Linked DNA regions of Saccharomyces cerevisiae S288C. The gene in region 1 interacts genetically with each later gene. Each region holds a gene or a part of one and is shown on either strand. Other genes may lie near its edges.

Region 1 (5,326 bases):
TAGAAAATAATGCCTTTCTTTATAATCAAAATGGGGAAGCCAAGCACTCACTTTCTTGCTATCAAGTACTTGAAGTTTCTCGTTCTATTTCCCCGAGGACCACGCGCGGGATACTTACTATTGAGAAATCCTTCGATATGATTGGTTCTCTCCGTAATAAGATCAACCCTTTTAAAATATTTACATTTACAAGAAGATGTTAGAAATATATTAACGATCTATTTTATATGCCTTCTACACCGTTCCACAACTCTTCAAAAGTTAAAAACTTTGACCGAGTTTTGTGTTCCTTTTTGCCCCGAAGCAATTCCTTCTTGTTGATTCTTTCCCAATCCTTCCATGTGGTGTGCTTGATATTAGAGAGGTCGATAGAATTCTCTAAGGATAGCGCTCCGCTGACCACCAAGTCTTGTATTACTCTGTCTCCAACTTCAAAAGCATCTTGCATTGTCGAGGCAATAACGCCCTGGCTGCCCTTACGGATCCAACCAGATGCATATAAATGTGGGAATATTTCTCCGCTGGAAGTTAAAACACGACCCTGTTTATTAGCTATATGATCTTTGTCAAATCCAATAGACAACTTAGAGAATTCAGGCATGGGAACGCCTGCATATCCCAATGAAGTAATCAGCAAATCCACTTTATATGTCATAATATTATTGACGTCCTTCAAGGGTTGCAAACTGTTATCTTCATTTAATCGATTGTTACATAAACTCAAAGAGTTGATTGCACCAAAATCGTCTCTATTAATTTTCAAGGGAGTCTTCAAATAATCTAACTCCCAGAATTTGTCATATCCGCTGCTTGGAGGAGGAGCCTTTTTATAGTTTTTCTTCGAACGTTCATTAAATGGCTTGAGATACTCACTACACATCTCTACTCGTCTATTGAATGCACGATCGTACTTAGATGGGTCAAACATTTCTTTCTGGAAAAATTTAGGATCAATACGGCCACGTATGCCATACTTTTCTAACTCCCATAGTTCTCTTAATTCTTTGTTGGTGAATTTGGAATGAACGAAATCCCTTCGTGCAATTAGCTTAACGTCCTTTACAGGTGCCCTTCTTAGCAAATTTAGTGCAAGAGATGAGATGTCCGTATTTTCCCATATTTCATCAATTTGATTAGAAATAAGTACACGCGTAATATCAAGAGCAACGTTACCGTTTCCTATAATACCAACTTTCGAAACTTTGCTCCAGTCAAAATCGGTAAATCGCTTATCCTTTGCGAAATCAGGATGACCATTGTACCAATTGACAAATTCTCTACTGCTAAACACCCCTTTTGTTCCGAGTTCGCCAGGGATATTCAGCTTTCTGTCCCCTGTACAACCATAACTTAAAATAACAGCATCTTGATTATCCAGCAATTCCTTCAACAATATTTCTTTTCCAATGGTTATACCACCAACAAAGGAAAATTTATGCTTTTGGTTTGTAGGGGAAGAAAACTCTTCTGCACATGTGGTAAACGTTTCTTCACAATTTTTGACTTCTGGATGATCAGGTGCCACACCATATCTACTTAAACCAAAAGGAACAGGTAACTTTTCCCATATAGTAACATTTAATGGAATCGGTGACTTCTTGAGTAAATGGTACGCTGTATAAAAGCCGGAAGGCCCCGATCCAACAATGGATACAGTCTTACGGTTTATTTGTGAAGAAATGTGCCTTATTTGAACAAAGCTCATTTTCACAAGTAATGAGCTAAAAAAGGAAGAAGAAAGAGTGAGAAACTTTCTAAATGAATGAATGAGGCGTTGTGGCCAAGAACTATAGCAAGCAAAAAACTTTCTGTTACGTTCGAGCTATAGTTTACTGCTCTTCGAATTATATCTCGATTGAGTTACCCTTAAAGAGTGCCGAAAAATCGATGTAAATAGTATAAGTAAAGATTTCCACTCTTCTATATTTGCAACGCAGTAGACGTACCAAGGGACGATTTGAAAAAAAATGAAGTGTGCCCTCAATCTACCATGTCGGATAAGCCGATTGACATACAATATGATAAACAGGCTACTCCAAATCTGAGTGGTGTAATTACTCCGCCAACAAATGAAACTGGTAATGACTCAGTCCGGGAAAAACTTTCAAAACTAGTTGGCGATGCTATGTCAAACAATCCCTATTTTGCCGCCGGCGGTGGTCTTATGATCCTTGGTACAGGTTTAGCTGTAGCTAGATCCGGTATAATAAAAGCCAGCAGGGTCCTATACCGACAAATGATTGTCGACTTAGAGATTCAGTCGAAGGACAAATCATACGCCTGGTTTCTAACATGGATGGCCAAACATCCTCAAAGGGTATCTAGACACTTATCCGTTAGGACAAACTACATACAACATGACAATGGATCAGTTAGTACAAAATTTTCGCTGGTTCCGGGTCCGGGAAATCATTGGATTCGTTATAAGGGTGCTTTTATCCTGATTAAAAGAGAAAGGTCCGCAAAAATGATAGATATCGCAAACGGGTCACCATTTGAGACCGTAACCTTAACTACACTGTACCGTGACAAACATTTGTTCGATGACATTTTGAACGAGGCTAAAGACATAGCCCTGAAGACTACTGAGGGCAAGACTGTTATTTACACTTCTTTCGGCCCTGAATGGAGAAAGTTTGGTCAACCAAAAGCTAAAAGGATGCTGCCCTCCGTCATTTTGGACAGTGGCATCAAAGAGGGTATTCTCGATGACGTTTATGATTTTATGAAGAACGGCAAATGGTACTCTGACAGGGGTATCCCATATCGCAGGGGATATTTACTCTATGGCCCTCCCGGATCTGGTAAGACTAGCTTTATCCAGGCTTTAGCGGGCGAATTAGACTACAACATTTGTATTTTAAACCTCTCCGAAAATAATTTAACAGATGACAGATTAAACCACTTAATGAATAACATGCCAGAAAGGAGCATACTATTACTGGAAGATATTGACGCGGCGTTCAACAAAAGAAGTCAAACTGGTGAACAAGGTTTTCATTCTAGCGTAACATTTAGCGGTTTACTGAATGCCCTGGATGGCGTCACATCTTCTGAAGAAACTATTACATTCATGACTACCAATCATCCTGAAAAGCTAGACGCGGCTATAATGAGACCAGGTCGTATTGACTACAAAGTCTTCGTTGGTAACGCAACTCCATACCAGGTAGAAAAAATGTTTATGAAATTTTACCCAGGTGAGACTGATATATGCAAAAAGTTTGTAAATAGTGTTAAAGAATTGGATATCACCGTAAGTACCGCCCAGTTGCAAGGACTTTTCGTTATGAATAAAGATGCACCACACGATGCGTTGAAAATGGTCTCCAGCTTACGGAACGCTAATCATATTTTCTAGGTGCTAAGTGGCGCCTTACTACATAACTTGTATATAATAAAAATTCAGAAGATGCTTTAACTTTTTCTCGTTAATAAGACCGAGTTATTTGCTATTACGAACAAAAGAGTATATGATAAAGAGGCTTAAAAATACCCCTTCATTGACTATCCAGAAAAGCCTGCGTTGCAGCTTCAATATGATAAGGATATACTTCCCTCAAACCTTCTGCAGTTGCCCTTGTTCTAGCATCCAGCAGAATTTTTCTTAAAATGGCCTGAAATCCACATGCCAATAATAATTTCTTGTTATATTCTTGACTAGACTCTTGATCTTCATTTTGCCGTTGGAGAAGATCTTCTAGCTTATTCTCCTCCGCATCTAAACTAAGCTGCCGTAGCAAATAATTGGCCAATGCTTCCGTATCCATGGAAGAATGTTAGGAACTGTTGCTATTGTTGTACTTTGGTTATACGACAGTAAGTAACGTTGACTTGGTGACCGAAAATAGACACGAAATCGCTACCCGTTTCCCCAGAATATCACTCCTCACGATGTACCTCGGCGGCTAATCTTTTTGGTAGCCTTTTGTGATATATATATAAATAAATAAGTATACATACATATATATATATATATATTTATACAGCTACATTGTTTTCCTCCAAAATTTTCTGTTGGTTATGAATCGCAAAAGAAGTTTTCAGATTGTGTCCTCTGTTACTATTTCGTTAAGAAAGGAAGATATCGTCTACGGCTGGTGTGACGTAAGTATTGCGTTGTGCTCTAAAAATGAATCAAATCTGGTCTACAGGTCCCCCAAATTTTTACTTCAACTCTGAATGGAAAGAAAATAAGAGAAATGACAGGACAATTGAAGACTCTTTAAGAGAACTAGATGGGTTGATCCATTCCTTGGAGAGAACTCATATTGAAGTACAAACAAACCCAAAGCTAAAGAACGATGTCACAGCTTTAAATGATATTAACAAGAAAGAAAATAAAGAAGAGATCACTCATGAAAACTATACACACCAGATTAATAGTATTCCATTGACAAGCTCAAATTTAAATCGGCATTTCTCCTTTTCTAGAGACTACAACCAATCTGATAATAGCAATAATAATTATTACAGGGAATATTTATCCAAACCAAGGTATTTGCAGCAGTCAACTAAAGAACAAACTTTCAATGAAATTAATAAAAGAAAAAGTGCTGCAATTATTCCCCCTTGGTTAAATATTCCAGAAAACTCAAGATTTTTTGTAATAAAGTCCTCGTCTTTGAAGCATGTCAAAAGGTCGTTTTACAACGGAATTTGGTCGTCTACTCATTTCGGCAACAAAAGGCTATCTGAGGCATATAAAAAGCTTAATTCGGGAGCCAAAGTGTTTTTATTTTTTTCAATCAACACATCAGGAAGATTCTGTGGCGTTGCAGAAATGGTATCGGATTTGAAAATGGATTTGGACACCAGTATATGGGAAGATGAACAAAAATATGGCAAAGCCTTTAAAGTAAGATGGGTGATCGTGCGTGATATAAATAACAGATCGTTAAAAAGGTTTTTGATACCATCCAATGAAATGAAACCGATAACACATTCCAGAGATACTCAAGAAATTCCATATTCGATTGGAATTTCAATAATTAATCTATTTAAAACTCAAGATTCTGATATTTTCTCCTTCTTGGATGAGACGTATGAATAGACCTTATCCCTCATTTATCAACATTTTATTCTCATTTATTATTAGTATTATTATTATTTTTAATATTATTTTTATTTAAAATTATCCTAAAATTACTTCTACTGTTATAACATCCAATCCATAAGAAGCAAAAACAAAGTTTTCATATTAAGCCATCGTAAAGGTTTAAGGCACCAATAATAGAGGGATCGACTTTAGAACCTTCTCTGAATTCGTCCAGCGTAATGTAACCATCTTCGTTCTTATCCATCAACTTGAAGATCTTCTTTACCC
Region 2 (5,084 bases), 330 kb from region 1:
CCATTGCCTTCTGGAAATATGGGTGCGTTCCAACTTCAGCAACAGCAGCAAGTGCAGCAGCAATCTCAACCACAGACCCAAGCGCAGCAAGCAAGTGGAACTCCAAACGAGAGATATGGTTCATTCGATCTTGCGGGTAGTCCTGCATTGCAATCCACGGGAATGAGCTTATCAAATAGTCTAAGCGGGATGTTACTATGTAACAGGATTCCTTCCGGCCAAAACTACACTCAACAACAATTACAATATCAATTACACCAGCAGCTGCAATTGCAACAGCATCAGCAAGTTCAGCTGCAGCAGTATCAACAATTACGTCAGGAACAACACCAACAAGTTCAGCAACAACAACAGGAACAACTCCAGCAATACCAACAACATTTTTTGCAACAGCAGCAACAAGTACTGCTTCAGCAAGAGCAACAACCTAACGATGAGGAAGGTGGCGTTCAGGAAGAAAACAGCAAAAAGGTAAAGGAAGGGCCTTTACAATCACAAACAAGCGAAACTACTTTAAACAGCGATGCTGCTACATTACAAGCTGATGCATTATCTCAGTTAAGTAAGATGGGGCTAAGCCTAAAGTCGTTAAGTACCTTTCCAACAGCTGGTATTGGTGGTGTTTCCTATGACTTTCAGGAACTGTTAGGTATTAAGTTTCCAATAAATAACGGCAATTCAAGAGCTACTAAGGCCAGCAACGCAGAGGAAGCTTTGGCCAATATGCAAGAGCATCATGAACGTGCAGCTGCTTCTGTAAAGGAGAATGATGGTCAGCTCTCTGATACGAAGAGTCCAGCGCCATCGAATAACGCCCAAGGGGGAAGTGCTAGTATTATGGAACCTCAGGCGGCTGATGCGGTTTCGACAATGGCGCCTATATCAATGATTGAAAGAAACATGAACAGAAACAGCAACATTTCTCCATCAACGCCCTCTGCAGTGTTGAATGATAGGCAAGAGATGCAAGATTCTATAAGTTCTCTAGGAAATCTGACAAAAGCAGCCTTGGAGAACAACGAACCAACGATAAGTTTACAAACATCACAGACAGAGAATGAAGACGATGCATCGCGGCAAGACATGACCTCAAAAATTAATAACGAAGCTGACCGAAGTTCTGTTTCTGCTGGTACCAGTAACATCGCTAAGCTTTTAGATCTTTCTACCAAAGGCAATCTGAACCTGATAGACATGAAACTGTTTCATCATTATTGCACAAAGGTCTGGCCTACGATTACAGCGGCCAAAGTTTCTGGGCCTGAAATATGGAGGGACTACATACCGGAGTTAGCATTTGACTATCCATTTTTAATGCACGCTTTGTTGGCATTCAGTGCCACCCATCTTTCGAGGACTGAAACTGGACTGGAGCAATACGTTTCATCTCACCGCCTAGACGCTCTGAGATTATTAAGAGAAGCTGTTTTAGAAATATCTGAGAATAACACCGATGCGCTAGTTGCCAGCGCCCTGATACTAATCATGGACTCGTTAGCAAATGCTAGTGGTAACGGCACTGTAGGAAACCAAAGTTTGAATAGCATGTCACCAAGCGCTTGGATCTTTCATGTCAAAGGTGCTGCAACAATTTTAACCGCTGTGTGGCCTTTGAGTGAAAGATCTAAATTTCATAACATTATATCTGTTGATCTTAGCGATTTAGGCGATGTCATTAACCCTGATGTTGGAACAATTACTGAATTGGTATGTTTTGATGAAAGTATTGCCGATTTGTATCCTGTCGGCTTAGATTCGCCATATTTGATAACACTAGCTTATTTAGATAAATTGCACCGTGAAAAAAACCAGGGTGATTTTATTCTGCGGGTATTTACATTTCCAGCATTGCTAGACAAGACATTCCTGGCATTACTGATGACAGGTGATTTAGGTGCAATGAGAATTATGAGATCATATTATAAACTACTTCGAGGATTTGCCACAGAGGTCAAGGATAAAGTCTGGTTTCTCGAAGGAGTCACGCAGGTGCTGCCTCAAGATGTTGACGAATACAGTGGAGGTGGTGGTATGCATATGATGCTAGATTTCCTCGGTGGCGGATTACCATCGATGACAACAACAAATTTCTCTGATTTTTCGTTATGATAGAAAATTTAAAAGTGCAGAATATTCGAAATAGATTCCCAAAAAAAAAAAAAGGGATATTGTGTTACCCAGTTCACAATGGAATTTTCTAGAAGAAAAAACAAAGAAGCCTCGCAACAAACCAAGATGGATTCAAAATGCCTACTTACCGCATTGTATGTGGGAGAATGAACATATCTGTAATTGTATTATATAAAAGTAGTTAGTTTTTTTTTTTTTTTTTTTTTTTTTTTTTTTTTATGTGTAATGCAAATACAAAAAGAACTGCAGGCATTTTGAAAGTTCACTCGTATAGGAAACTTTGATAGAGAGGCAATTCCTTACTTTCGTTATTCCTTTCAGTCTTATTCTTAATCGTTTATAGTAGCAACAATATATCAATATGGTCGTGAATAACCCAAATAACTGGCACTGGGTCGATAAGAACTGCATCGGATGGGCCAAGGAGTATTTCAAACAGAAACTGGTTGGAGTGGAGGCCGGTTCGGTGAAGGATAAAAAGTATGCCAAAATCAAGTCTGTTTCGTCCATTGAAGGTGATTGTGAAGTTAATCAGCGTAAGGGGAAGGTTATATCTTTGTTTGATTTGAAAATCACGGTGTTAATAGAGGGACACGTGGACTCTAAGGACGGATCGGCATTGCCATTCGAGGGTAGCATTAACGTTCCTGAAGTTGCCTTCGATAGCGAGGCCTCAAGCTATCAATTTGACATATCTATATTTAAGGAGACTAGCGAATTGAGTGAAGCCAAGCCACTAATTAGATCCGAGTTATTGCCCAAGTTGAGACAAATTTTCCAACAATTTGGCAAGGATTTGCTGGCCACCCATGGTAATGACATTCAGGTGCCCGAATCTCAGGTGAAATCTAACTACACAAGAGGTAACCAAAAAAGTAGCTTTACCGAAATCAAGGACTCCGCTTCAAAGCCAAAAAAGAATGCACTTCCCTCTTCTACTTCAACTTCAGCACCAGTCTCCAGCACCAACAAAGTCCCCCAAAACGGAAGCGGCAATAGTACATCTATTTATTTAGAACCAACTTTTAATGTGCCTTCCTCCGAGCTCTACGAAACGTTCCTTGATAAGCAACGCATATTGGCCTGGACCAGATCAGCACAATTTTTCAACAGCGGACCGAAGCTGGAGACCAAAGAAAAATTCGAGCTCTTTGGCGGCAACGTGATCAGCGAGTTGGTTTCATGCGAAAAGGACAAGAAACTTGTTTTCCACTGGAAACTCAAGGATTGGTCTGCCCCTTTCAACTCTACTATCGAAATGACTTTCCATGAGTCGCAAGAATTCCATGAAACCAAATTACAGGTGAAGTGGACTGGCATACCCGTTGGCGAGGAAGATCGCGTGCGCGCTAATTTTGAAGAATACTACGTGCGTTCTATTAAATTGACATTCGGCTTTGGTGCCGTATTATAAGATATATTGTTCTCATGTTTCAATAAAAGTATGCGTAAATATTTACATACCACTATTGGCATAGATAGAATGCAATACATCATGTAGTTCTGTACGGCATCCGCGCGGCTCCGATCGCCCGTCCTACTTTTGCGGCCCGGCGCCGACGGCCTCCCCGGAATTTACCAACGAAGAGGAAAATAAACTGGAGTTATAACGCCATTGGCGGGAAACTCCGAAACCATAGCGCCGTGGTCTTTCCCCGGTTTTTTGGCGCCGGGTGTGCTTGCGTTGTGTGAACGGCGCCCTGGCAGCTGAGGGGGAAGGGAAACGCCGGAGGCGACGGCAAGGATGACCATGGCGTCAAGGAACATGCGGAACATGCTAGAATGATTGCCGAAAGGGCGGGCCCTAGTCAATGGCATCATGCGGGAACGTGCAGTAAAGCTCAATGTAACTTGATGCCTATCGGCGTTGTTCGAGCTAAGGACGATGTGATAGACTGAGGAAGGGTGAACGTCGATAGTTAGCCGTTGTGAACTAAATAAAAGTGATATTTTTTCGTTGTTCTTTTCTTGGTTTGGCGGTGTTTTCATTTGTTTTCATGTTTTACTTCGCCACAGGTTTTCAAAGAACAACGCCTTAAAAATAGGAAAACGTTTTCGCTACAGGTGTTGTTATTATTGTTGTTGTGCTGTTGTTTATTGTGCTATACTTGTGGTATTTATTCTGGACTTCCGATCGGAAATTTTCTTCCCTTGAAGACCTTTTGAAGACAACAGTTATATATCATTGATCTGAATTTCTCAGGCTATTTTCAAAATTCCATACCTCCTTATTCCAACATTTGCTCGACTACTATAGAAAAGCCTTATTCTTTTATCTTTGAAAGAAAGAAAAGGTGTCATAGCAAAAGTTTATTGTTACTCTGTTTTGATATACTCCCTCTTATTCGTTGGAAGTATAAGATTGATTTGCATAAATTAACCAATCATTTTGCTACTTTCCCGGTTCTCCCTTTATTATAAACACTTCAGAAAAATATTCTGCTACTATTCCTTACTTTACTATAAGAATTTTGTTTTCCAAAAAAAAAAAATATAAAAAAAATAATCATACTCTATTACTATGGCTAACGTAGAAAAACCAAACGATTGTTCAGGCTTTCCCGTTGTTGACTTGAATTCGTGCTTTTCTAACGGCTTCAATAATGAGAAACAAGAAATAGAAATGGAAACGGATGATTCACCGATTTTATTAATGTCATCATCAGCTTCCAGAGAAAACTCAAACACTTTCTCTGTGATACAGAGGACGCCAGATGGAAAGATCATTACCACAAATAATAATATGAACTCCAAGATTAACAAGCAACTGGACAAGTTGCCCGAAAATTTAAGGCTTAATGGTAGAACCCCCAGTGGGAAACTAAGGTCATTTGTTTGCGAGGTTTGTACGAGAGCGTTCGCAAGACAAGAGCACTTGAAAAGACATTACAGATCGCATACAAATGAAAAACCTTATCCCTGTGGCCTCTGCAACAGATGCTTTACTAGGAGGG
Region 3 (5,325 bases), on another chromosome or scaffold:
CATATAACGAATTTGATATGGAGTTTATGCTGCCTGACGTCGTTGATGCCTCTGGTTGCCAGTTATTAACTCAAGAGGAAATTGAGAATGGTGCACACCTAAAGGGATCCAGCATCATGAAAAGTATCAATGAAAATTTCAAGTTCGTACACTGTCAGCAGTTAGGGAAATTCTTAAATCCTCCAATAGATGATAATAGCCTCCAAGAACAATCTCAATACCAGGCTTATAGAATTAATGAAAAAACAGTACCCATTCTAGAAAATCTATTCAAAATCAATGACCTCTTCCAATCTTCTTATGATATCCTGGACGGCTCAAGTAAAAATGCTAATGCTGCAACGATGGACCCCAGTATTGGTTCAGAGGTAGAAGCAGTCGACGAAATAATTGAGAAAAGAAACTTTAAAGACGGTACTAAAAAAGATTCGACAAAAAACACCGTAGGTGATAAATCATTAATAGACTCGCAAACGTTTTTAACAAATTCCATCAGTAACATTTTTAAATTCATGACTTTTCGACCCATGTTGCCCAAGCAAACGGAAAACAAAAAGTTTAATTTTCTGAATTCCATTCTAACAAAATCTCAATTCATGCCCACGACTAATGAGCTAGATGTCACGATAAGAAAATCTTACGATGTCTCGTTATACTCATGCAGACTTGGCGGCATTCTAGGTTTAAGTTCACGTGTTCCCCACCGAGGCGGTGTCAACACGAAATATATTTTACCATCGTCACTATTGGAAATGAGCGAAATAATAACAGAAAGTTGTTTTATGCTAATGGAGGAGTTCGACGGGCTGCTCCCTCAAAAATTCGAGTTGGACCCTTGCACTGATGAGACTAATGGGAATTGCGAGTTTAACGGCGAAACTAAATCACGAATGATTGCCAACGGCGAATATGAAACTTTTGAAAATGACCTAGATGTCGGGATCAAAGTTTCGAATTATGGGAAAGGTGGGAATGACCAGAAAGCTAAGAGAAATGTACTAAGCAAAGATGGGATAACAGAGACTCAAAACATAAAAGGTGATACTGTTGGAAGCTCGAAATCGATTGCTGAAATAGACGGCGACGAAGTAACGCAAATACGTAGAGTTTTTACGCTTGGTAAGGATATCAAACCGCATATTACAACGGACGATACCATGGGTTCTCAGTGGAAAAACCATCCAGACTGGCCATTTTGGGTCAACAAGGTAGAATCCAGAAGATTGTTGGATTCGAATATCATTGAATCTATATTTTATATGTACAGAATCAGTGGAGAACAAAAATGGAGAAGCATGGGTAAGCAGTCTTTTGGAATCTTAATGCAAGAATTAATGGAACTAAACAGTGGTGCCAAAGGATTGTGGCAAATAAAGGAATTTTATGAAAACGGTGAAAAAGTGAACAATGATTTACCTAGCTATTGGTTCTCCAGAACATTAAAATACTATTTGCTACTATTCAGCGATGGTGACAAGGTTTCCCTGGACAAACACATCTTAACTCAAGGAGGGCACATAATCAAAAAGAAATGAAGTTAACGTTAGAAAAATCGTACGCACATACATACATACATATAGGTACATATATACATAATGAGAAGAGGAGAAAATGAATACTTATACAGTAATGTTTATTTTTTTGGGATTAAGTGTCGTTGTGGTGATTTCTTTACACAGCCAATGGGTATTCGCCAGCCCAGTCGTAAATTTCCTTTTTCCAGGTGTTCAAAACATCAGAGCCTTCGTCGACCTTGGCTTTGAAGTCCTTTAATCTACAAGCATCCTTTGGCAAGCTTTGTTGAACTTGTTGAGCGAATTCTACAGCCTTGTTAATGTATTGAACAATTCTGTGGAAATCTTCTTCACCCATTCCTCTAGTGGTCATGGCTGGAGCCCCAATACGGACACCACCTGGAACCAAAGCAGATTTGTCACCTGGAATAGAGTTTTTGTTCAAAGCAATGTTAATCTTTTCACAAATGTATTCAACACGAGCACCATCAACACCCTTTTCTCTCAAGGATACTAGAACCATGTGAGAATCGGTACCGTTGGAAACTAATCTGTAGCCCAAGTTCTTAAATTCACTTTCCAAAGCCTTAGCATTCTTCAAGACTTGAGTTTGGTATTCCTTGAATTCTGGAGTGGCAGCTTGCTTCAAAGCAGTGGCCAAAGCAGCAATGGTATGGTTGTGTGGACCACCTTGGTGACCTGGGAAAACAGAGAAGTTAATTGGGTTTTCCAAGTCGTATAGAACTTCCTTACCGGTCTTAGGGTTGATAGATCTCACACCTCTTCTGAAGAAAATCATAGCACCACGTGGACCTCTCAAAGACTTGTGAGTGGTGGTGGTAACGATATCAGCGTATTCGAAAGGAGATGGGATGACACCTGCGGCGATCAAACCAGAAATGTGGGCCATGTCTACCATCAAGTAAGCACCACATTTGTCGGCGATTTCTCTCATTCTCTTGTAGTCAATTAAACGACAGTATGCTGAAGTACCAGCAACAAGAACCTTTGGTCTATATAGGATGGCGTTCTTTTCTAAAGTATCGTAGTCGATAATACCGGTTTCTGGGTTAACTCTGTATGGGAAAGATTCGAAGTATGTGGAAACAGCAGAAATTTTTCTGTTTTCAGTAGCGTAACCGTGAGACAAATGACCACCATCTGGTAGGTATAGACCCATCAATCTTTCATGAGGCTTCATAATAGCTTGATAAACCTGCAAGTTAGCAGGAGAACCAGATAAAGTTTGGACGTTAACACCCCATTTGTCTGGAGTAACATGGAAAGCTTTCAAAGCTCTTTGTTGACATAGAATTTCCATTCTGTCAATGTGTTCATTACCACCGTAGTAACGAGCACCTGGATAACCTTCAGAGTATTTGTTGGACAATGGAGTTCCAAGGGCATCGAAAACGGAGGTTGAGGTGAAATTTTCAGAAGCAATCAAATCGATGGAGTGCTTTTGTCTTTCAATTTCATCCTTGATAATGGAGTCCACTTCAGGGTCGGTGTCCACCAAATGAGAGGTGATCAACTTATGATGAGCGTCGGATAGAGTGTAAGGCATGTTAAGGAGGATTCGGTTTAAGCTGTTATGCTTTGCTATGGGGTAGTATCTTTCGTAAAGGTTACACTAGAAGAAGGAAAGATTACTGAACGCAAACTAAGGGAAGCAAGTTCTGCATTATATATAAAACAAGATGAAGAAGACTCATGGTTCGGTCTAAGATGATTATGAATTTAAAAATTATACAGAGTAAAAAGCGAACATGAGAAACCCAAGAGATAGAGTCAAACCTTTATGGTCAAAGCAACCTGAAAGGGTCATTTCTCACCAGGAGTCATGTTTCGTGTGTGAAATATTTGAAAAATTTCACTTCTTTTTTCTTTTTTTTTTTCTACATTAAAAATCGGTGCGTTGTCTTTTCAAAGATGAGGTAGATGAAGATGGTGACTCCGGCTGTTCAGATCCGATTGACTCGACCGACTCTGTTTCCTGTGGTGGCTTCAAGTAGTTGTCCATGTACCATTGCAATTGAGCTATGCTCTCTTTGATATCACTATAAGCAGTGTGGGCAGCTTCTTTTTTTGGATTACGTGCTTGTAAAGCGGGATTGTGTCTGCGGGCAACTTCCATGATGCTACTGACGTCAACTATTCTGTAAAAGAGATGATCAATGACCTTGGGAAACTCGCGGACCATGAACAAGCGGTCCATATGTACACTATTGCCTGCCAAGACGCCAACGTTCTTGTCTGGGATGTAGCGCTGGATGTACTCGAGCAGCTCATCTTCTACCTGGGCCAAAGTCTTCTCACTTGCCAAAACTTTGGCGGTGAGACCGCTATTACCGTGGTGCTCAATACACCACTCGTTCATTTTGTTCATCACCTCGGGACCATAATGGATGACGCTCTCATAATGCGAGTCTCCTTGGCCATCGGCCGCTTTGACGGGTGCCAGGTGTCCATCGGTGATGATGCAGCAAATCTCGATAATTCTGTCATTCACGTGGTCTAAACCGGTCATCTCGCAGTCGATCCAGACCAAGGGTTTGAACAGCTTGGTTTTAAGTTCGGGTGTTTGCGCCATTGATTGCAGGTTTTGGATGGTTCGAGGACGTAAGTACTGTGAAACGGATCTTCTGTACAGCGAGAAGAGGTTTGGGCGAGTGCGAGCTACGATTCTTGCCGGAAACAACAACCACTTCATCTTGATCTCTTCTGTTTATTTGTGAAAGCTCCTTTTCTTTTTTTTCATTTTCTTTGCAAATCGAAAAGTTCACACTGATTTTTTATTAGTTCTTTTAAGTGCCCAACTTGACAGGAAAAAGAAACACCCCAAAGGGAATACCAGTGTATGTAAGGCTTGAATTATACGTATGAGCATGCGTTTGATGGTTGTCGTCAGAGCCAGTGCTCTGAGAGTGTCCCAGATGACTACAACCCTTGTATAAAAGTACATCTTCTTGATTATTTATCACGACACACGAGGTGACCGATTATTCAGAATCGGTACCAAAAAAGAAAGAAAATTGAAGGAAATGAAAAATTTTCAATGTATTTCTCGAAAGCCTGGAGTTGATCAAATGTTCAAAAAATAGGGCAGAATAGCATAACACACATCAATAACACCGAGCCAGCATGCCTACCGTCTCCGTGAACAAGCAGCAATTATTTGATCTTCTAGGCAAAAACTACACTTCCCAAGAGTTCGATGAATTATGTTTTGAATTCGGTATGGAAATGGACGAAGACACCACAGAGGAGGCCTTGAAAACCGGGGAGGAGCCGGAATTGAAGCTTGATATCAGTGCCAATCGTTACGATTTGCTTTGTATCGAAGGTATTTCACAGTCGCTGAACGAATACTTGGAACGTAAAGAAAGACCTGACTATAAATTAAGCAAGCCAACCACTAAGTTGATCATCGACAAATCAACGGAGCAAATTAGACCTTTTGCTACCGCTGCTGTATTGAGAAATATCAAGCTTAACGAAAAATCTTACGCTTCTTTTATTGCCTTGCAAGATAAATTACATGCCAATCTATGTAGAAACAGAAGCTTGGTTGCCATGGGTACTCACGATTTAGATTCAATTGAAGGTCCATTCCATTACAGAGCTCTACCACCAAAGGACATCAAGTTCGTACCATTGAATCAAACCCAAGAGTTTACTGGTGACAAATTGATCGAGTTTTATAAATCTCCAGAACAGAAAAACAACATAGGGAGATACGTTCACATTATTGAGGATTCTCCAGTCTTCCCAGTTATTATGGACAGCAAAGATCGTGTTTGCTCCCTGC
Region 4 (6,695 bases), on another chromosome or scaffold:
AAATACGTAAAATGCTAAGACGCTCTAAAAATTCCAGCACTAACACAAACGCAGACACCAAGAAAAGACAATCCATGCATTTAGGATCCAAAAGTTCGCTAATCTCGCTGACTAGCGAATTTGGCCATGGACACTCCAAGACGAAGCAGAAAAAGGAGGAGGGCACAGCTCCTTCTCAATTCCTGTCTCCTACGAATAAGAGAAGCACATCTAGTCAGTCAAAGTTAAAAAGGAGCAGCTTGTTACTGGACGAAACACTGCTTAAAGACTACCACTCGGCCATGAGGCACATGCAAACAAACGCTGCAAAGGAAGAAAAGCTGCGGATGGCTCCATCACCAACGCAGTCAACGAGGAGCGAATCAGACGCCAGTCTTTCCTCCACCAAGAGCTCGATCTCTTCCATATTTTCCCAAGATAATGACTATTCCATTCACGATTTGTTGTACGAAGATATTGAAGAGATGGATAAAACAGACGCTTTCAAAATTAACAACACAATAGCAATCGATGATTCTAAAGCTCTCTTTGTCTTCTGTTCAAACGACTCCTCCTCAAGGACAGCGTCTATCGAAACATTGCACGAATCAAATTTGGACAACCTGGATATGGGTTCCAGTAGAAGGACATCGTTGGACTTTTTTTAATATAACCTACCATAGGACACACTTTGTTGTTGATGTTGGACAATTCGTTAATTAAGAGTCCCTAAACGGCTCTACTAGTTCCAACCTCACTTTGTTTTTTCATTTTTTTATGTTTTTTCTAGAACCTTCTTTACGTGATTCTCGCTCGGAATCCGTCAATAGAATGTTTTCAGTCTCCGTTTCAATATTCTGCGCACATCAATCATTTTCTTACTACATACACTAACATTACTCCTAGTTTAATTTAATTGAATTTTTAACTTTCTTTTCTTTTCATTTGGCAATTTGGCTCCTTGAAAACAAGACTATGGGTCTCTCTCATAAGCCTCAGGGGGGGACCCCAAAAAAATAACGCGGCCATCTTGCATGCACCGTTGAACCTGTAGCTTACAGTAAGCCACAATTCTCTTACCTTCTTGGCAATGTGGCACAAAATAATCTGGTTATGTGTCTTCATTTGGTAATCACTGGGATGTTACTGGGGCAGCAGCAACTCCGTGTGTACCCCTAACTCCGTGTGTACCCCTAAAGAACCTTGCCTGTCAAGGTGCATTGTTGGATCGGAATAGTAACCGTCTTTACATGAACATCCACAACCAACGAAAGTGCTTTTTCAAGCATTGCTTGATTTCTAGAAAGATCGATGGTTATTCCCTCCCCCTTATGCGTCCAAAAATATAGGGTGCTCGTAACAGTAAGGTATTCGCACTTAGCGTGCTCGCAACACAAAATTAAGTAATATGCGAGTTTTAGATGTCCTTGCGGATCTATGCACGTTCTTGAGTGGTATTTCATAACAACGGTTCTTTTTCACCCTTATTCCTAAACATATAAATAGGACCTCCATTAGTTAGAGATCTGTTTTTAATCCATTCACCTTTCATTCTACTCTCTTATACTAATAAAACCACCGATAAAGATATATCAGATCTCTATTAAAACAGGTATCCAAAAAAGCAAACAAACAAACTAAACAAATTAACATGTCATTTAACAGTCCATTTTTTGATTTCTTTGACAACATCAACAACGAAGTTGATGCCTTTAACAGATTGCTGGGTGAAGGCGGCTTAAGAGGCTACGCACCAAGACGTCAGTTAGCAAACACACCCGCAAAGGATTCTACTGGCAAGGAAGTTGCTAGACCAAATAACTATGCTGGCGCTCTTTATGATCCCAGAGATGAAACCTTAGATGATTGGTTCGACAATGACTTGTCCCTGTTCCCATCTGGTTTCGGTTTCCCTAGAAGTGTCGCAGTTCCAGTTGATATTTTGGACCATGACAACAACTACGAGTTGAAAGTCGTGGTTCCTGGTGTCAAAAGCAAGAAGGACATTGATATTGAGTACCATCAAAACAAGAACCAAATTTTGGTTTCTGGTGAAATTCCATCTACCTTGAATGAAGAGAGTAAAGACAAGGTCAAGGTCAAGGAGAGCAGCTCTGGTAAGTTCAAGAGAGTCATCACTTTGCCAGACTACCCAGGTGTGGATGCAGACAACATTAAAGCAGACTACGCAAATGGTGTTTTGACATTAACAGTTCCAAAATTGAAGCCTCAGAAGGATGGTAAGAACCACGTCAAGAAGATTGAGGTTTCTTCTCAAGAATCGTGGGGTAACTAAAGTGACCTGGCTCTATAGTGTTGTCCCTCTCGCGAGGACCATTGTTGCTTGCATATGGGCTTGAAACATATGGTCATCACATCTGAGCGATTTTACCTCTTAGAATTAGTTTAGATATATATGAGTTGATGAATAAATAGTTATAAAAACTTGCTTTGGCTTCGATATATGACCGTTATTTTTGACTAAGTTTTAACGAAGGAATCTAACCTCGTTCTTGTAATTACCAAAATCTTCAACAACGCGCTGTTGGAGGTATCTCTATGGATGTGGCTTGAAATATGGATGTCTTGCCTACTTCTACTTCTGGGAAAGGCATTTTTACTCGATCGCGTTAATATATGCATCAAGAAAATAAAAAATAAAACGCGAAGAGCTAAAAAAAAAAAAGAAAACCTACTATAAATAACCGATTAGAATCGAGTTTTTGTATTGAAATGGCGGTAATAAGCGTTAAACCTCGACGAAGAGAGAAGATCCTACAGGAGGTAAAAAACAGCTCGGTATATCAAACGGTATTTGATTCCGGTACTACTCAAATGCAGATACCGAAATATGAGAACAAGCCATTCAAGCCTCCAAGAAGGGTTGGATCAAATAAGTACACACAACTCAAACCAACCGCCACTGCAGTCACAACAGCCCCTATATCTAAAGCCAAAGTTACTGTCAACTTGAAAAGAAGCATTTCGGCGGGACCTACTTTAAATCTTGCCAAGAAGCCGAATAATCTGTCCTCAAATGAAAACACTAGATATTTTACTATCATGTACAGGAAGCCTACTACCAAAAAGCACAAGACTTGGAGTGGTGATGGCTACGCTACCTTAAAAGCCAGTAGCGATAAGTTATGCTTTTATAACGAAGCAGGGAAATTTCTTGGGTCAAGTATGCTACCAAGTGATTCAGATTCTCTCTTCGAAACTCTTTTCAAAGCAGGCTCCAATGAAGTACAATTGGATTACGAATTGAAGGAAAATGCAGAAATACGTAGCGCCAAAGAAGCCTTATCACAAAACATGGGAAATCCCAGCCCACCGACCACAAGCACAACAGAAACAGTGCCTTCTACGAAGAATGACGGTGGCAAATACCAAATGCCTCTGTCTCAGCTGTTTTCACTAAACACTGTGAAAAGATTCAAATCAGTAACAAAGCAAACAAATGAACACATGACCACAGTACCTAAAACCAGTCAAAATTCCAAAGCCAAAAAATATTATCCAGTATTTGATGTCAACAAAATCGATAATCCTATAGTAATGAACAAAAATGCAGCCGCTGAAGTTGACGTAATTGTTGATCCATTACTGGGCAAATTCTTGCGCCCTCATCAGAGGGAAGGGGTGAAGTTCATGTATGATTGCTTAATGGGCTTGGCAAGACCAACTATTGAAAATCCGGATATCGATTGTACTACTAAAAGTTTAGTGTTAGAAAATGACTCAGATATTAGTGGATGCCTTTTGGCTGATGATATGGGTTTAGGTAAAACACTAATGAGTATAACTTTGATTTGGACATTAATTAGGCAAACTCCTTTTGCATCAAAAGTTTCATGTTCGCAATCAGGCATACCATTAACTGGACTTTGTAAGAAGATTTTAGTCGTTTGTCCCGTTACTTTAATAGGAAATTGGAAAAGAGAATTTGGAAAATGGTTAAATTTGTCAAGAATAGGTGTTTTGACATTAAGCTCAAGGAATTCTCCTGATATGGATAAAATGGCTGTCAGAAATTTTTTAAAAGTGCAACGAACTTATCAAGTCTTGATTATTGGCTACGAAAAACTCTTGAGTGTTTCTGAAGAATTAGAGAAAAATAAACATTTGATTGACATGCTGGTGTGTGACGAAGGCCATCGACTAAAAAACGGGGCTTCTAAAATTTTAAATACGCTGAAGAGTTTAGACATAAGAAGGAAGCTTTTGCTTACGGGAACTCCTATACAAAATGATCTTAATGAGTTTTTCACTATTATAGATTTCATAAACCCAGGAATCCTTGGAAGCTTCGCTTCTTTCAAAAGAAGATTCATTATCCCTATAACTAGAGCCAGAGACACTGCAAACAGATACAACGAAGAATTGTTGGAAAAGGGGGAAGAAAGGTCAAAAGAGATGATAGAAATTACGAAAAGATTTATTTTGAGACGAACAAATGCGATTTTAGAAAAGTACCTTCCTCCAAAGACGGATATAATTTTATTCTGTAAACCATACAGCCAACAGATATTGGCATTCAAAGATATTTTGCAGGGCGCACGTTTAGATTTTGGACAATTGACGTTCAGTTCTTCGCTAGGACTAATAACATTACTGAAAAAGGTTTGTAACTCTCCTGGATTGGTTGGCTCAGATCCCTATTACAAATCACATATAAAGGATACCCAATCTCAGGACAGCTATAGTCGTTCTTTGAACTCTGGTAAGTTAAAGGTATTAATGACATTACTAGAAGGTATTAGGAAGGGTACCAAGGAGAAGGTCGTCGTAGTGTCTAACTACACTCAAACATTGGATATAATTGAAAATTTGATGAATATGGCTGGGATGTCACATTGCAGACTCGACGGTTCCATACCTGCTAAACAAAGGGACTCTATCGTCACATCTTTCAATCGGAATCCAGCCATATTTGGATTCTTGTTGAGTGCAAAATCGGGAGGTGTAGGATTGAATCTAGTCGGTGCTTCGCGACTTATTTTATTTGATAATGATTGGAATCCTTCAGTAGATTTGCAAGCGATGTCACGAATTCATAGAGATGGTCAAAAAAAGCCGTGCTTCATATATAGACTTGTCACAACTGGGTGTATCGATGAGAAAATATTGCAAAGGCAATTAATGAAGAACAGTTTGAGCCAAAAATTTCTAGGTGACTCGGAGATGAGAAATAAAGAATCTTCTAATGATGATCTTTTCAATAAAGAGGACTTGAAGGACCTGTTTTCTGTCCATACAGATACCAAGAGTAACACACATGACTTAATTTGTTCTTGCGATGGTTTAGGTGAGGAAATTGAATATCCTGAAACAAATCAACAGCAGAACACCGTAGAGCTGAGAAAGCGTAGCACTACGACATGGACAAGTGCGCTGGATTTACAAAAGAAAATGAATGAAGCAGCCACCAACGATGATGCCAAAAAGTCACAATACATTAGGCAATGTCTCGTTCATTATAAGCATATCGATCCAGCAAGACAAGATGAATTATTTGATGAGGTTATCACAGATTCGTTCACCGAATTGAAAGATAGTATTACCTTTGCGTTTGTAAAGCCCGGCGAGATATGTCTCAGAGAACAATGACGCCAAATATGGACACTTATATACTAAATAAAATAGCTATTATTTAATCACTGATTGTATTTAATAGGTTTATTCTTGCACGACTCATTCAGGTTCAAGTCACATATTAAGTAGGGCCTATTGCTGATTCAAGTTGATATCCACGTTTTCACTAATTTGATAACGATACGCTGCGGGCGCAAATCAAACATCTGAAAGATTTGAATAGCCTTTAGTCCCAAAAAAAAAAAAAAAAAAATAATGTGAAAAATTATCTACAAGGAAATAAATTGATAGGTAAAGTTAAAGAATCACGGCATGAAATTAAAAAGTGTATTCAGATCAGTTCTAAAGTACCGGAAAACAAATTTGAGTTTGCTTCTATTAATCACCTATTCGATTATTACGTTACTCTATATCTTTGATCATGAACGTTATAAACTCAATCTACCAAAAGAGGATGAGCACCCTGAATTCAATGACTTATTAGAAACAGCATGGGGGGACTTACAGATTATCACGGCCTCTTTTCATCCGTACACGTCCAAAGAAAATGATAAAGTACATGATTACTTGCTCAAAAGGGTTCTTGAAATTACAGGGAATTCTTCGTTTGCAAGTGTTTCAGATGACAAAGAAAGCGAGAGATCCATATTATTTCAGCAACAAGATCCTTTCAATGAGTCATCTAGGTTTTCGAGAGTGACATATTTTGAATCTTCTAATATATTAGTTAAGCTTGAGGGTAAAAATCCTGAGGAAGAAGGGTTACTTCTTTCAGCTCATTTCGACTCTGTACCCACAGGATATGGAGCTACCGATGACGGCATGGGTGTAGTGTCTTTACTAGCGAACCTCAAGTACCATATAAAGCACAGACCGAACAGGACTTTAATTTTCAACTTTAATAATAATGAAGAGTTTGGCCTACTAGGTGCATCAACTTATTTTGATCACTCATGGTCTAATTTAACCAAGTATGTGATAAATTTAGAGGGAACTGGTGCTGGTGGTAAAGCTGTACTGTTCCGAACTTCAGATACTTCAACAGCAAGAATATACCAACAGTCTGTTAAGGAAAATCCATTTGGTAACTCTATCTACCAGCAAGGTTTTTATAGCAGATA

Evidence for each region.
Region 2: mutations in BCS1 (region 1) and AHA1 together harm fitness more than expected from each alone (negative genetic interaction), as found in Saccharomyces cerevisiae (2 studies listed by BioGRID).
Region 3: mutations in BCS1 (region 1) and SHM2 together harm fitness more than expected from each alone (negative genetic interaction), as found in Saccharomyces cerevisiae (2 studies listed by BioGRID).
Region 4: mutations in BCS1 (region 1) and RDH54 together harm fitness more than expected from each alone (negative genetic interaction), as found in Saccharomyces cerevisiae (2 studies listed by BioGRID).

The regions. Positions count from the first base shown.
Region 1 is NC_001136.10:1,223,201-1,228,526, reverse strand, and holds BCS1 (bifunctional AAA family ATPase chaperone/translocase BCS1), read left to right. Parts: upstream 1-1,990; coding exon 1,991-3,361; downstream 3,362-5,326. Other genes in the region: ARH1 (NADPH-adrenodoxin reductase), read right to left, coding at 224-1,705; WIP1 (Wip1p), read right to left, coding at 3,501-3,770; PHO92 (mRNA-binding phosphate metabolism regulator), read left to right, coding at 4,133-5,053; FRQ1 (frequenin), read right to left, coding at 5,196-5,326.
Region 2 is NC_001136.10:890,384-895,467, forward strand, and holds AHA1 (Aha1p), read left to right. Parts: upstream 1-2,491; coding exon 2,492-3,544; downstream 3,545-5,084. Other genes in the region: UPC2 (Upc2p), read left to right, coding at 1-2,109; YDR215C (uncharacterized protein), read right to left, coding at 3,706-4,119; DNA-binding transcription factor ADR1, read left to right, coding at 4,652-5,084. UniProt on the Saccharomyces cerevisiae protein: Co-chaperone that binds to the molecular chaperone HSP82 and stimulates its ATPase activity.
Region 3 is NC_001144.5:256,321-261,645, forward strand, and holds SHM2 (glycine hydroxymethyltransferase SHM2), read right to left. Parts: upstream 3,082-5,325; coding exon 1,672-3,081; downstream 1-1,671. Other genes in the region: putative mannosidase MNL2, read left to right, coding at 1-1,535; REX2 (Rex2p), read right to left, coding at 3,418-4,227; FRS1 (phenylalanine--tRNA ligase subunit beta), read left to right, coding at 4,659-5,325. UniProt on the Saccharomyces cerevisiae protein: Interconversion of serine and glycine.
Region 4 is NC_001134.8:380,400-387,094, forward strand, and holds RDH54 (DNA-dependent ATPase RDH54), read left to right. Parts: upstream 1-2,712; coding exon 2,713-5,589; downstream 5,590-6,695. Other genes in the region: YBR071W (uncharacterized protein), read left to right, coding at 12-647; chaperone protein HSP26, read left to right, coding at 1,631-2,275; YBR072C-A (uncharacterized protein), read right to left, coding at 2,461-2,622; PFF1 (Pff1p), read left to right, coding at 5,887-6,695. UniProt on the Saccharomyces cerevisiae protein: Involved in the recombinational repair of double-strand breaks (DSB) in DNA during mitosis and meiosis. Has DNA dependent ATPase activity. Promotes D-loop (displacement loop) formation with RAD51 recombinase.